Linked DNA regions of Caenorhabditis elegans. The main gene of each other region encodes a partner of the protein of the gene in region 2 in a complex. Each region holds a gene or a part of one and is shown on either strand. Other genes may lie near its edges.

The links.
Region 1: taf-5 (region 2) and taf-1 share a complex: the UniProt entries of both Caenorhabditis elegans proteins name them as parts of the TFIID basal transcription factor complex.

What each region holds. Positions count from the first base shown.
Region 1 is NC_003279.8:13,859,437-13,864,477, reverse strand, and holds the start of taf-1 (Transcription initiation factor TFIID subunit 1), read right to left. Parts: upstream 3,005-5,041; 5' UTR 3,003-3,004; coding exon 2,876-3,002; intron 2,811-2,875; coding exon 2,615-2,810; intron 1,221-2,614; coding exon 818-1,220; intron 1-817. Other genes in the region: W04A8.6 (ANK_REP_REGION domain-containing protein), read right to left, coding at 4,927-5,041. UniProt on the Caenorhabditis elegans protein: The TFIID basal transcription factor complex plays a major role in the initiation of RNA polymerase II (Pol II)-dependent transcription.
Region 2 is NC_003279.8:7,848,211-7,854,148, reverse strand, and holds taf-5 (Transcription initiation factor TFIID subunit 5), read right to left. Parts: upstream 4,337-5,938; 5' UTR 4,325-4,336; coding exon 4,092-4,324; intron 3,623-4,091; coding exon 3,243-3,622; intron 3,193-3,242; coding exon 3,002-3,192; intron 2,385-3,001; coding exon 1,869-2,384; intron 1,695-1,868; coding exon 1,320-1,694; intron 1,273-1,319; coding exon 1,136-1,272; intron 766-1,135; coding exon 651-765; 3' UTR 513-650; downstream 1-512. Other genes in the region: apb-3 (AP-3 complex subunit beta), read right to left, coding at 1-79, 130-208, 323-399; F30F8.5 (MATH domain-containing protein), read left to right, coding at 5,296-5,484, 5,578-5,938. UniProt on the Caenorhabditis elegans protein: The TFIID basal transcription factor complex plays a major role in the initiation of RNA polymerase II (Pol II)-dependent transcription.

The DNA of each region.
Region 1 (5,041 bases), 6.0 Mb from region 2:
GAAAATTGTCTGAAAACTCATGAAATGCTGTTTAAGCCGTGAAAATAACCGGAAAATTGTCGGAATTGAGCTGGAAATTATATTTTTCAGGAATTTTTAGTTAAAAATTATCAAAAATTGACTGAAAATCACGTTTTTCAACTAAAAATATATTGTTGAGTGAGGCTCACACTACAAACTACAACATTTTCTAGCCTCAACCAATTTTGGTTGAGGCTCACACTACAAACTACAACTTTTTTAGCCTCAACCAATTTAAGGTGAGGCTCACACTACAAACTACAACATTTTCTAGCCTCAACCAATTTTGGGTGAGGCTCACACTACAAACTACAACATTTTCTAGCCTCAACCAATTTAAAGTTCTCAATTTTGGTTGAGGCTCACACTACAAACTACAACTTTTTAGCCTCAACCAATTTAAAATTCTCAATTTTGGTTGAGGCTCATACTACAAACTACAACTTTTTAGCCTCAACCAATTTAAAATTCTCAATTTTGGTTGAGGCTCATACTACAAACTACGAAATTTTCTAGCTTCAACCAAATTTTTTTGAGCAAACTGTGTCAAATTTGCGCTTTTTTGGTAATTTTTTCAGATTTTTAGTGCGATTTTTAGGGTTTTTTTTATTGAAAACTTCAATTTTTGGCGAATTTCAGCCATTTTTCAGCCATTTTCAGTGTATTTTTTACCAGGAAACTTTAATTTTGATCATTTTTAGCCAATTTCAGCCATTTTTAAGTCAGTTTTTCAAAGGAAATTCCATTTTTTTGAGCAATTTTCAGCCGATTTTCTGCAAATTTTCATTATTTTTACCTTCAGTTTGAATCCATAATTAACAGCTTGACTAGTCATCGGCAAATTCATCATATCATACCAAATCTTGGCGGGACCCGTTCTCCACGGCTGAACTACCGTACCCTCTTCATTTTTCTTTGCCATTTCCTCTGCATCCGTCAGTATCGGTCTCCGCATTCGTTCTTCTTCATCGTCAGCCAACATGACACGTGGCACCTTCTCAATGATGTTAAGCTTCAGCTTTTTGGCTCCAACGATGACGTCATCAGCGAGGGGCTCTTCGGGCTCTTTTTTGCGTTGATGTTTGGAGAAGGTTCGGGAAGCCCACCAGATCTCGGCACGGGACGTATGTTTGATATTTTGAGCAAAAAGTCGAGAGAAACGAAGAGTTTTGTTTGGATTGAAGTCTTTGAAGAAGATTCTGAAAATAAAATTAAAGGATTTTGCGGAAAAATGGGGGTTTTCAGTGATTTGCGTGAATTTTTGGCGAATTTTCGGAATTTTTTTGGAAATTTTAACAGAGAATTATGGAATTCTAGAAGAAATTAGCAGTTTTTAGCAATTTTACATCAAAATTTCGAGTTTTTCGGCGAGAAAAACCAGTTTTCAGGGGAAAAATGACGGGTTTCAACCATTTTTTTTGGAATTTTTGCAGAAATTGGCCAATTTTCAGGCTTTTTTTGGCTTTTTTGGCTCGAAAAAAAGGTTTAACAATTTTAAAGCAAATTTTCGAGTTTTACATGAGATTTCTGATGGCTAGGAAAACCATGGGTTTGTGTGGAAAAATTGTGGGTTTTTTCGGGGAAAAGTGACACGGGTTTCAACGATTTTTGAGTGAATTTTTGAGTTTTTTAAAGGAATTTTTGCAGAAATTGCCAATTTTCGGGTTTTTTGACTTAAAAATTGTGTATTTGTGTGTTTTTATGAAACTTCATTGGAAAACTGACTTTTGGAGCAAAATTCGAATTTCAATTTTCAATTTTCGAATAAAACAAAACCCAACATTTCAGTGAAAATTCGATTTTTCCAACAAAAATCGTCACTTTTATTCGATTTTTGCGCGAAATTCGAATTTCGGCAAATGTTTGCCAATTTTTTGAAATAATGGCGCTTTTCATGCTTAAAAAAAGTGAAAATTTGTTTTTTCCAACGAAATTAGAATTTCTATCAATTTTTCGAGAAAAAAAAATGAAAATTTTACTGAATATTCGATTTATTCAACAAAAATTGAAAAAAAAATCGTCACTTTTACTCGATTTTTTTTCGAAAAATTTTGAAAAAAAAATCCCATTTTACGATTTTTTGTCGAAATTTTTGATTTTTCCAGCAAAAACTCTTTCCAAATCGACTTTTGGCGGGAAATTCAAAAAATTTCAGTTTTCAATTTCAAGGGCAAGCAAATTTTGCGGAATTTTAAAAGAAAATTATGGAATTTTGGAAGAAACAGCACGTTTTGAGCATTTTTGGAATACTTTATTCAAAAAATGTCATTTTCGAGCAATTTTCAGAGTTTTTAAAATAGATTTTCCGAAGAAAATTCGAATTTTCGGGTGATTTTATAAAAAAGTTTGTAAAAATGGAAAAAAAAATAAAGTTTTTAGAGAAAAATGAAATTTTTTTTAATGTTATTAAATTAAAATTTGTCAATTTTTATACCACACACATCTCATACTACACATTACAGGATTCGGCAGGAAATGAAATTTTTTGTCAAATTTCCCAATTTTCAGTGATTTTTGATAGAATTTTTGAGTTTTTCGTGGAAATTTCCGGTAAAAAACGTCAATTTCAACAGAAATTTGTGGTTTTCAGTACCTCGGATCAATTCCATCAAGATCCGGATGTAAAATAGATGAAAGTGGTGCATCATCTCGAAGTGATGGTCTTGCAAATGGTTCCATATCTTCTAATCGTACAGGATCACCAATATATTCTTCAAATTCTTCATTTTTTTCCACTTTTGGCTCCATTTTCACACTTTTAGAGCCGCCATTAGAAGCTGACGAACATGCTGAAAAAATGAAAAAAATGAAAAATTAGTGAAATTCCAAAGTTTTTTTTTTCGATTTTCGCTACCTTCATTCCGTGCTGCCGGATGATTTTTGTAGAAATCCGAGAGATTAGCGTAAGGATCCTCTAGATCTTCTTCATTTTTTGGCTTTTCCGTTCGATACCCATTTGTGTGATGATGTGTATTGTTCATTACTGGAAAAAATTACAATAAAAAATTTTGAAAAATATTTTAAAAACCTGGAGATTCACGAATTTTTCAAGAAATTTTCACGAAAAAATTGAATATTTTCTGAATTTTCTGCTCAAAGTTGCTCGATTTTGAGTTTTAGAGATTTTGAATTTTGAAAATTCATGAGTTCTGTCTATTGATATTCTTTAGAAAATTTTCAGAGAAAAAAAAGAAAACGGAAATTTTGAAAAATTCGAAAAAAAAACCATTAATTTAGTCTCAAAATTGAATTTTTATTTAATTTGAATTTGAAAATCGATAAAATTTCCATTTTTCCGAATAAACAATGAATCAAAATTGTGCAAATTAAGAAGAAAACACCAAAAAATGCACAGACTACAAACTACAACATTTTCTAGCCTCAACCAACTTTTGGTGAGACTAAAAACTTGTAGAAAATTGGAAAAAATTACGATAATAACTTTAAAAATAATTCTAAAAACCTGATGATTCACGAATTTTTAAATTTTTTCACGGAAAAAATGGATTTTCTGCTCAAAATTGCTCGATTTTGAGTGAAAAATGGATTTGGTTGAGGCTCACACTACAAAAACTACAACTTTTTCAGCCTCACCAAAGGTTGGGCGAGGCTAGAAAATGTTGTAGTTTTTGTAGTGTGAGCCTCAACCAACTCCGGAAAAACTAATTTTTTGGGGAAAGTTCTCAGTTTTTTGAATGAAACTCGAATTTTAATTATTATTTCTTCAAATTTGATTGATTTTCGCATAAAAATTAGACTTTTCAAGAAAAAAAATGAAATTTACAATCATTTCGCTGAAAAATTTAATTTTTCACCGGGAAAATTCATTTTTCGACTAAAAATGTTATGAAAATCTAATTTTTTCAAAGTTTTTCGGCAAAAAGTTGAGTTTTTTCTGACTTTTCGGCTTAAAATTGCTCGAAAAATGCATTTGGTTGAGGCCGACACTACAAACTACAACTTTTTAAGCCTCACCAAAAGTTGAGTGAGGCTAGAAAATTGTGTAGTTTGTAGTGTGAGCAACCAAGTGCGGAAAAAATCTTTTTTTTGTGGAAAATTCAGAATTTTTGGAATTGAAACTCGAATTTTAATTATGATTTTGTGGAATTTATTGGATTTTGGCATTAAAAAATGAAATTTTTGAAGAAAAATTCATGAAATTTGCAATTTTTAGCAGAATTTCTGACTGAAAATTCAAAATTTCGCTTGAAAATTCAATTTTTCGACTGAAAATTGAATTTAGCGACTAAAAATGTGATGAAAATAAGTTTTTTCCAAATTTTTACAGCAAAATTAGAGTTTTTGAATAAAAATTGTTTTTTTCTAAATTTTTCTTCGAATTTTCACTTTTTATTCGGTTTTTACCGATTTTTAAAACAAAATTTCTGTTAAACGTTGGTTTATGTGAAAAAACGTTTAAAAATTGAATTTTCAGCTAAAAAATAGAAAAACTATTAAAAAAAAAAATATTCAAGTGCAAAATTACACTTTTTCGAGGATTTCCCCCCGAAAAAACCGGAAAAGAATAGCGAAAATAGGAAAGTGAGAAATTCATTTCAAATTATGGGAAAAAAATGACAAAATTATGGAAAATGATTCAATTTTTTCAACAAAAAAAAAGATTCAATTAAATTGATTGATTATCTGAGAAAATTCGAGAGAAAAAACAATGAAAAATGGGCAAAAATACAAGCGAAAAATGGGAATTTTACCCGAAAATTGACACGAAAATGGGGGGGGGGGGGGGGGGGGGGGGGGGGGAAATGGGGATTTATTAGGGTTAAACATGGTAAAAATTGACTAAAAATTCAATTTTTGGGGGAAAAATTCAGATTTCTATGAATTTTTACCCAAAAAACTCGATTTTTTTCACAGAAAATTAGAATTTTCCACTGAAAATCAGCTCTACATCCTCTGTTGCTGCAGTTGTCCCATCAATTGTCCGAGTTCAGGGCTTGATTGGAGCCCCGAGACGTCTGTAGACATATCCTGAAGATATTCGAATTCTGCCAACGCCGAA
Region 2 (5,938 bases):
TCAGCTCCACATTTTTTGCTGCTACGTTCTTCACAACTGCAGCAAATAGTTCACTGACATCTTTTCCTTTCGCTATCAGCTGAAATTTCAAGTTTAGATAATTATAATTTATTGGAAATAAAATCTCACGTTAATTATTCGTTTCATTGCATCAACTTTTAGGTTATCTTTATTACTATCCAGCATGGCTTTTAGGTCAGCGAATCGTCTGAAAGTAGATATATTCGAAAAATGTTACGTACAGTTATACCTAAAATGTAACTGTTGAAATTTTTTAAAAAATAAGTATTTTTATTAGTCTTAAGTTAACAAAAAAACCTACGTCCTATTATCCAAGATGACTCCGCCCTCAGCAATTTCCATTTCAGGGCTGGTCAACCCTTCGACGAACGACGTCATCTGAAAATAAAATAACCTTATTTTTAAAAAAGAGAAAAAAATGTAATAAAATATTTGCAGTGTCGGAATGAACACATAATTCCAAAATAAAGCCAAAGGGATTTTAAAATAAATTTAAAATTTGTTAAAAGGTTTTATTCCACCAGTGAAAAAGAGATTTAATATGAATGAGAGGATCACGTTAAAGACCAGATTTTGAGATAATGTATTTTAAAGATAAAATGTTCAAATAATAGCAGGCAAGATGACAGTTATTGCCCGAAGCAACCAAATCCAAGAAGAAGATTTCGACGAGTGAAATGGAGTCCGATTACTGCAGTTTCTTTTGTTGCATATGATCCTATATTGAAACCGTCCAGATTCACTCTGAAATTTTGTAAAAATTGATTGAAAAAAGCTTGTAGGAGTTTTCGAGAAACTATATATTATGAGGACTTAGAAAAGACATTCTGAAGTGGAAACGCGCTCCACTGCCGAATAAATACGCCCCGCCCCCAAGCCATAGGTCTCATTAGGTATTTGGCGACAAAACCGTAAATTCGAAAGTTTTTAGTATTGCCGATTTCTCCGATCTTCAAGCATTTGTCCTGTTTTTAAGTGGTTTAAAAAAATGTTATGGCTAATTTGATGAATAAAATTTATACTTTCTTCTTTCTCGTAAGGGGATTTTTCTGCGTTTTCATAATATTTGTACCTGTATATTTCTCCAAGTATTTTGTTCCTAATTAAAACTTACTTTGGCTCAATGTAGGAATCATTTTGTCCAGCGGCGAGAACTGTTCCAATAAGAGTATCAAGTGAATATAATTGAATACTTGAATTTCCATGGGATACCGCAAATACACCACCATCACGAGAGAATGTAATTGAACCCTGAAATGAACTAGTAATATGATATTATCATTTTTATATTTCACTACCTTCGTTCCAGCTTGTTCCGTAATTTCAGCTGCAACTAATCTCTGGTATGCCAAATCCCAAATCATCAGATTTCCAATAGCATCTAACGAGACGATATACCGACCACATGGGGAGAACTTGACAGCGATAATCGAAGCTTTATGACCACTAAAAATGCGAACTCGAGTACCAGAACAAACATCCCATACTCGAACATATCTATCATCTGATCCTCCAGCAATATAATTACAATTTGGATGATAATCAATACATCCAACGTCTCCATATGGATCAGCGAATATTCTAAGTGGATGCATTCGATCTGTCGACCACATTGCAGCTGTTTTATCGGCACTTGCTGTAGCGAAATAGTATCCACGACTACAGAATTGAGCCTGTAATAGTTTTCAGATTAGATAATGTAGAACGTTGCGCTGAAACTTTATGAGACAGTTTTTTTATTAGTTAAATTCGATAATTTCGGATAATGATCTATTATTTGAAATAAGATTACCAACGACACTAAATATCTCAGTTAAAATGCTAGTTAAAATTATATAAATACAAACCTGCCAAACTACTGCTGGTGTTCTATAAATAACAGCATTCCTCTGAGTCTCCATACTCCAAAGTCGAACTGTTCGATCTCCGGCAGATGATATAAGAAGTCGTCGATCCGGTGAAAAATTGACAGAAAACACGGGACCACCGTGGCCTGTATACCTCACACTTGTCGTTGATCCTTGTAAATCAAACATTTGTGATTGCACGTTATCCGCAGTTTCAATATCGATTTTATCAAGAAATTCCATATCACGAAGCTTCTTCATCTTATTCATCGGATCCATTGCATTCATAACAATTGAAGAATCAGATAAACCCATTGCAATAAGACTTGAATCATCCGTAAAATCACATGAAGCCACTCCAATTGGTGCATTTACTGTTGTGTACATACAAATGGAAACGGGTGATTCAGCTGAAATGATGGCCATTTTTCCGACGTCTCGAAGCCAATTTCGTCGTTCCTCTCGAAGATGTTCGCTGATTGGTGGAAGAGGAATTCGGTCAGCTTGTGGGCAATGCTGGAAATAACAAGATATATACAAAGAACTATGAAAATTACAGAACAAAGGGAGAGGGACTCAAAAAACACACTAAAAAATTTTAATCGTCACAGCTACACCCTCAACCATTTAAATTTTGACTGTATTTTTCAGTGTATTTTTGCATTATTTTCAGGCCATTAGAGTTGCTCCAAAAGATACTTTTGAATATTTTTGAAGACTTCAAAAGAGTTTAGGTGTAGCCAAACATTATTTTTGGAAATTTATTCAGAAAAAAATCAACTGTTTTAAAATTAGATTTTTCAACATAACATGCCGATTAAAATGTTACAGCGATATGTTATCAGCAAAGGTGTTCATTTTTCGATTTTTCACAAAAAACAATAACGAAAATATTACGTTTTTCGGTTTTTGGGAAATCGAAAAATCTAATGATTTTGTTTTTGATTTTTTGAAAATTAGCTTAAAATATTGACAATTTTTTTCTCTTTTTTAGAAAACAATTATATATGTTCTTATGTTTTTTTTCATTAACATAAACAAAATTTGATAAACATTTTTAAAATTTCAGGGTAAGATGAAAATCTTTCCTTGTCAGTACAAAAAAATTCAAAAAAATTGTTTAAAAATCTTACCGTCTGCATTTTCTTTCCCATATCTTTCCAATCTTTTCCTTTTGTCTTCCGTTTTTCAATATTCTGCATCAATTCGTCTTTTAACACCGAAAACATCATTTTATGTCTTTTATCACTTTTCGAAGTTACTCCAAGAATTCCACCCATTTGGGTTTCTATTGTCGTTCGATTTGTGGATACTTCGTCAGCATCTTTAACGGATATTATTATATTTTTTTTGTATATAAAAATGAATACTTACTTTCAATACAAATATGTTTTGCAATTATATTCTTAACACCAATCACTCTCGTTTGAATTGATTCAAGATGTTTCAGTGTTGGCCTCGAAAGTCGAACAAGAAATTTATTTTCTCGTAAAATGTGAACATGTTCATTGGCTCGTAACGTCATTGCATCTTCGATTAGTGATAATTGATATACAAATTCCGAGAAACATTCAGGAATGAAAATCTTGAATCGATTGAAGAATATACGGGCAGTTGCGGCATGCTTTTCAATTAAAGCTATATAGCTGTGTGCAAATATAGGAAATAAAAGTTGACTGAATTCCGCTTGAACAACATCTGTACAATCGTTTGCGTGCTGGACAAATGTGTCGAATTCAACGGATATCGCTTCTCTGAAACTTTTGGTTTTTAAGACATTGGGCTTTGAAAAATTCAAATTTTGTCTATTTTGCTATTAAAAAAAATTATTTCTAAGATGAAGTGGCGAAATTTGAGTAGATTCATTAGACTTAAAATGATACCGAAAACCGAATGTATTATTAATACGTCTTGTAAATTTCCCAAATTTATTTAAATACCGGTTTTGAGTTTAGGGGAAAAGTCTATATTCGGCAGAAAATTACAAAATTGATTTTTTCGGTAAAAGTGATCTTTTCAGTCGATGGATGCACAACATTTGGAAAAAATTTTATTTTGAAATTACTGTGTGCACATCTACTGAAAAAGCATCTTAATCAACTGGTTAGCTTTTTTTTGAGAAATTTAAAACAATTTTGTGGGGTCATTTTGAGTCTAGCAATGCTCCAACCTTTTAAAATATTAATTTCTAGATACATTTTTAAATTGAAAAAAAAAACTTACTCTGGAGGTAATCCATTAGATCCTTCAACTCTAAGTACTGGTCCAGCTTCTCGAGTCAAAAGCTCTTCAGTTTCTGTTAAACCATTTCGTCGTAAGTATCCAATAATCATTTGAAGTGATTCATTGTTCATTGGCCGAGAAAGCAAATTATCCTCCATTGCTGAATTGTTGTGCGTGTTTTGAAACATTTGTGGAGAACTTATCGAATGACTACTCGAATTCTCGCTATCCATCAAGTTCATTCTCTGGAAAATATATTATTATGAGAAAATACTGTCAAAATATCAAATTTGATATATTTTTTTGAATTTAAACCGACATTTGTTAGAAAAATAATTGAGTTCAAAATGGTGTTTTTTTTTTCAAATATGTGGCCAATTGCAGAATTTATAAGTAGAATAAAAGAGCGAAGAAGAATTAATTCAAACGTCACTACGAACTTGTTGCCGACATGGTGCAGCAGAGCGAGATTGCAACTAACCTACGTAGGCATGCCTACCTTCGGAATTTCTGTCAGACCTTTTTGTAGGAGTTAAAAGTTAATTATCTATGAAAAAAAAACGGTGTTTGGGTCCTGTACTCCAAAAGAACTCTACTCAGTTTCTTTAAATGAAGGTACCCAATCTTAAATAATTATGATATCTCCCTTGATATCACTTTGGCAACTAACTAAGAACACTAAATATACAGTAAAATGTTATCGCTTGTAGTTTGTAGTGTAAATTTAACATTTTCATTCCAACTGATTTCAATACAACGATTAATAAATATTCGAATGTATTCAATTGTGCAATCAACAATATTTTGTTTGCTATCTTATCATTTCTATGTATCTGATAACGGAGTCGATTGCTACAGTGATAACTTTCTAGAATGATGAAAAAACGTAAAGTAAAACTAGGGAAATAGTTAATTAGAAATACTTACCCATTTTGAATTCAGCCGTTTTAATTTTTAATATCTAATGCAACGAAAATACGAATTGTTGTCCTAGAATGACGATTTCACACACACACAAACGTTGTCGAATGCATATAAAATTCAGAGGGACGCCGAGAAGCAGTTGAAGCCCAAGCGAGACGCAGAGGCGAACACGCTCCGTGTAAGGATCGATAGACTGGAGAGACAGATGCACACAGAAAATGAATGGGGGAGTGGAAGACAGAGAAGAAGAAGACGAGCATTGCTTGTGTTTCTACACATTATGGACACTACTACAACCTCGTCTTTAAAGAGTGCTGAGAAAAAGGACACTGATGCGACGCCAAGAGCCCATAGTCCTGAAATTGATGTTGAAGTGATCAAATCTGATTGCTCTACGCCGGAGAAACAGAATGGAGCAGTTGGAAATGAGCAGCAGATGAATAATTCAACTTCTACAAGGAGAACTGATGTAGGTTTTTTTTTAATAGAAAATGTTTTGTCGATACTGAAAAATTGAAGCTTTGCGTCTAGAAACCTAGAAAGCTAGATTCTTGAATTTCAGAGCAACAAAAACCTGTCACCACCTCCTCAACGTCTTCGTACATCTAGTAGTACATCTGACGGAACTGAAAATCTAATTTCCTCTCTATCATCTTGGGATTGGGTTACCATAGATGGTCTGAAGCTTCCCGCAGTGACACGTAATAAAGAACGTTATGTGGCTGTCCATATGGTCCAGCTGAAACTACTGAGCAAGTTCCCATCGGATATTCCACGTGACATCACACGAAAATTCACGATGGGATCTCACAAAATGACAGTAACAGAAGCATGGACATTCAATACAATTAACGCTGTCATTAGAAAGTTTGATCTTGGTTGTCAGTTATTTACGGCAAATGATGAACTTGTCAAACTGAATG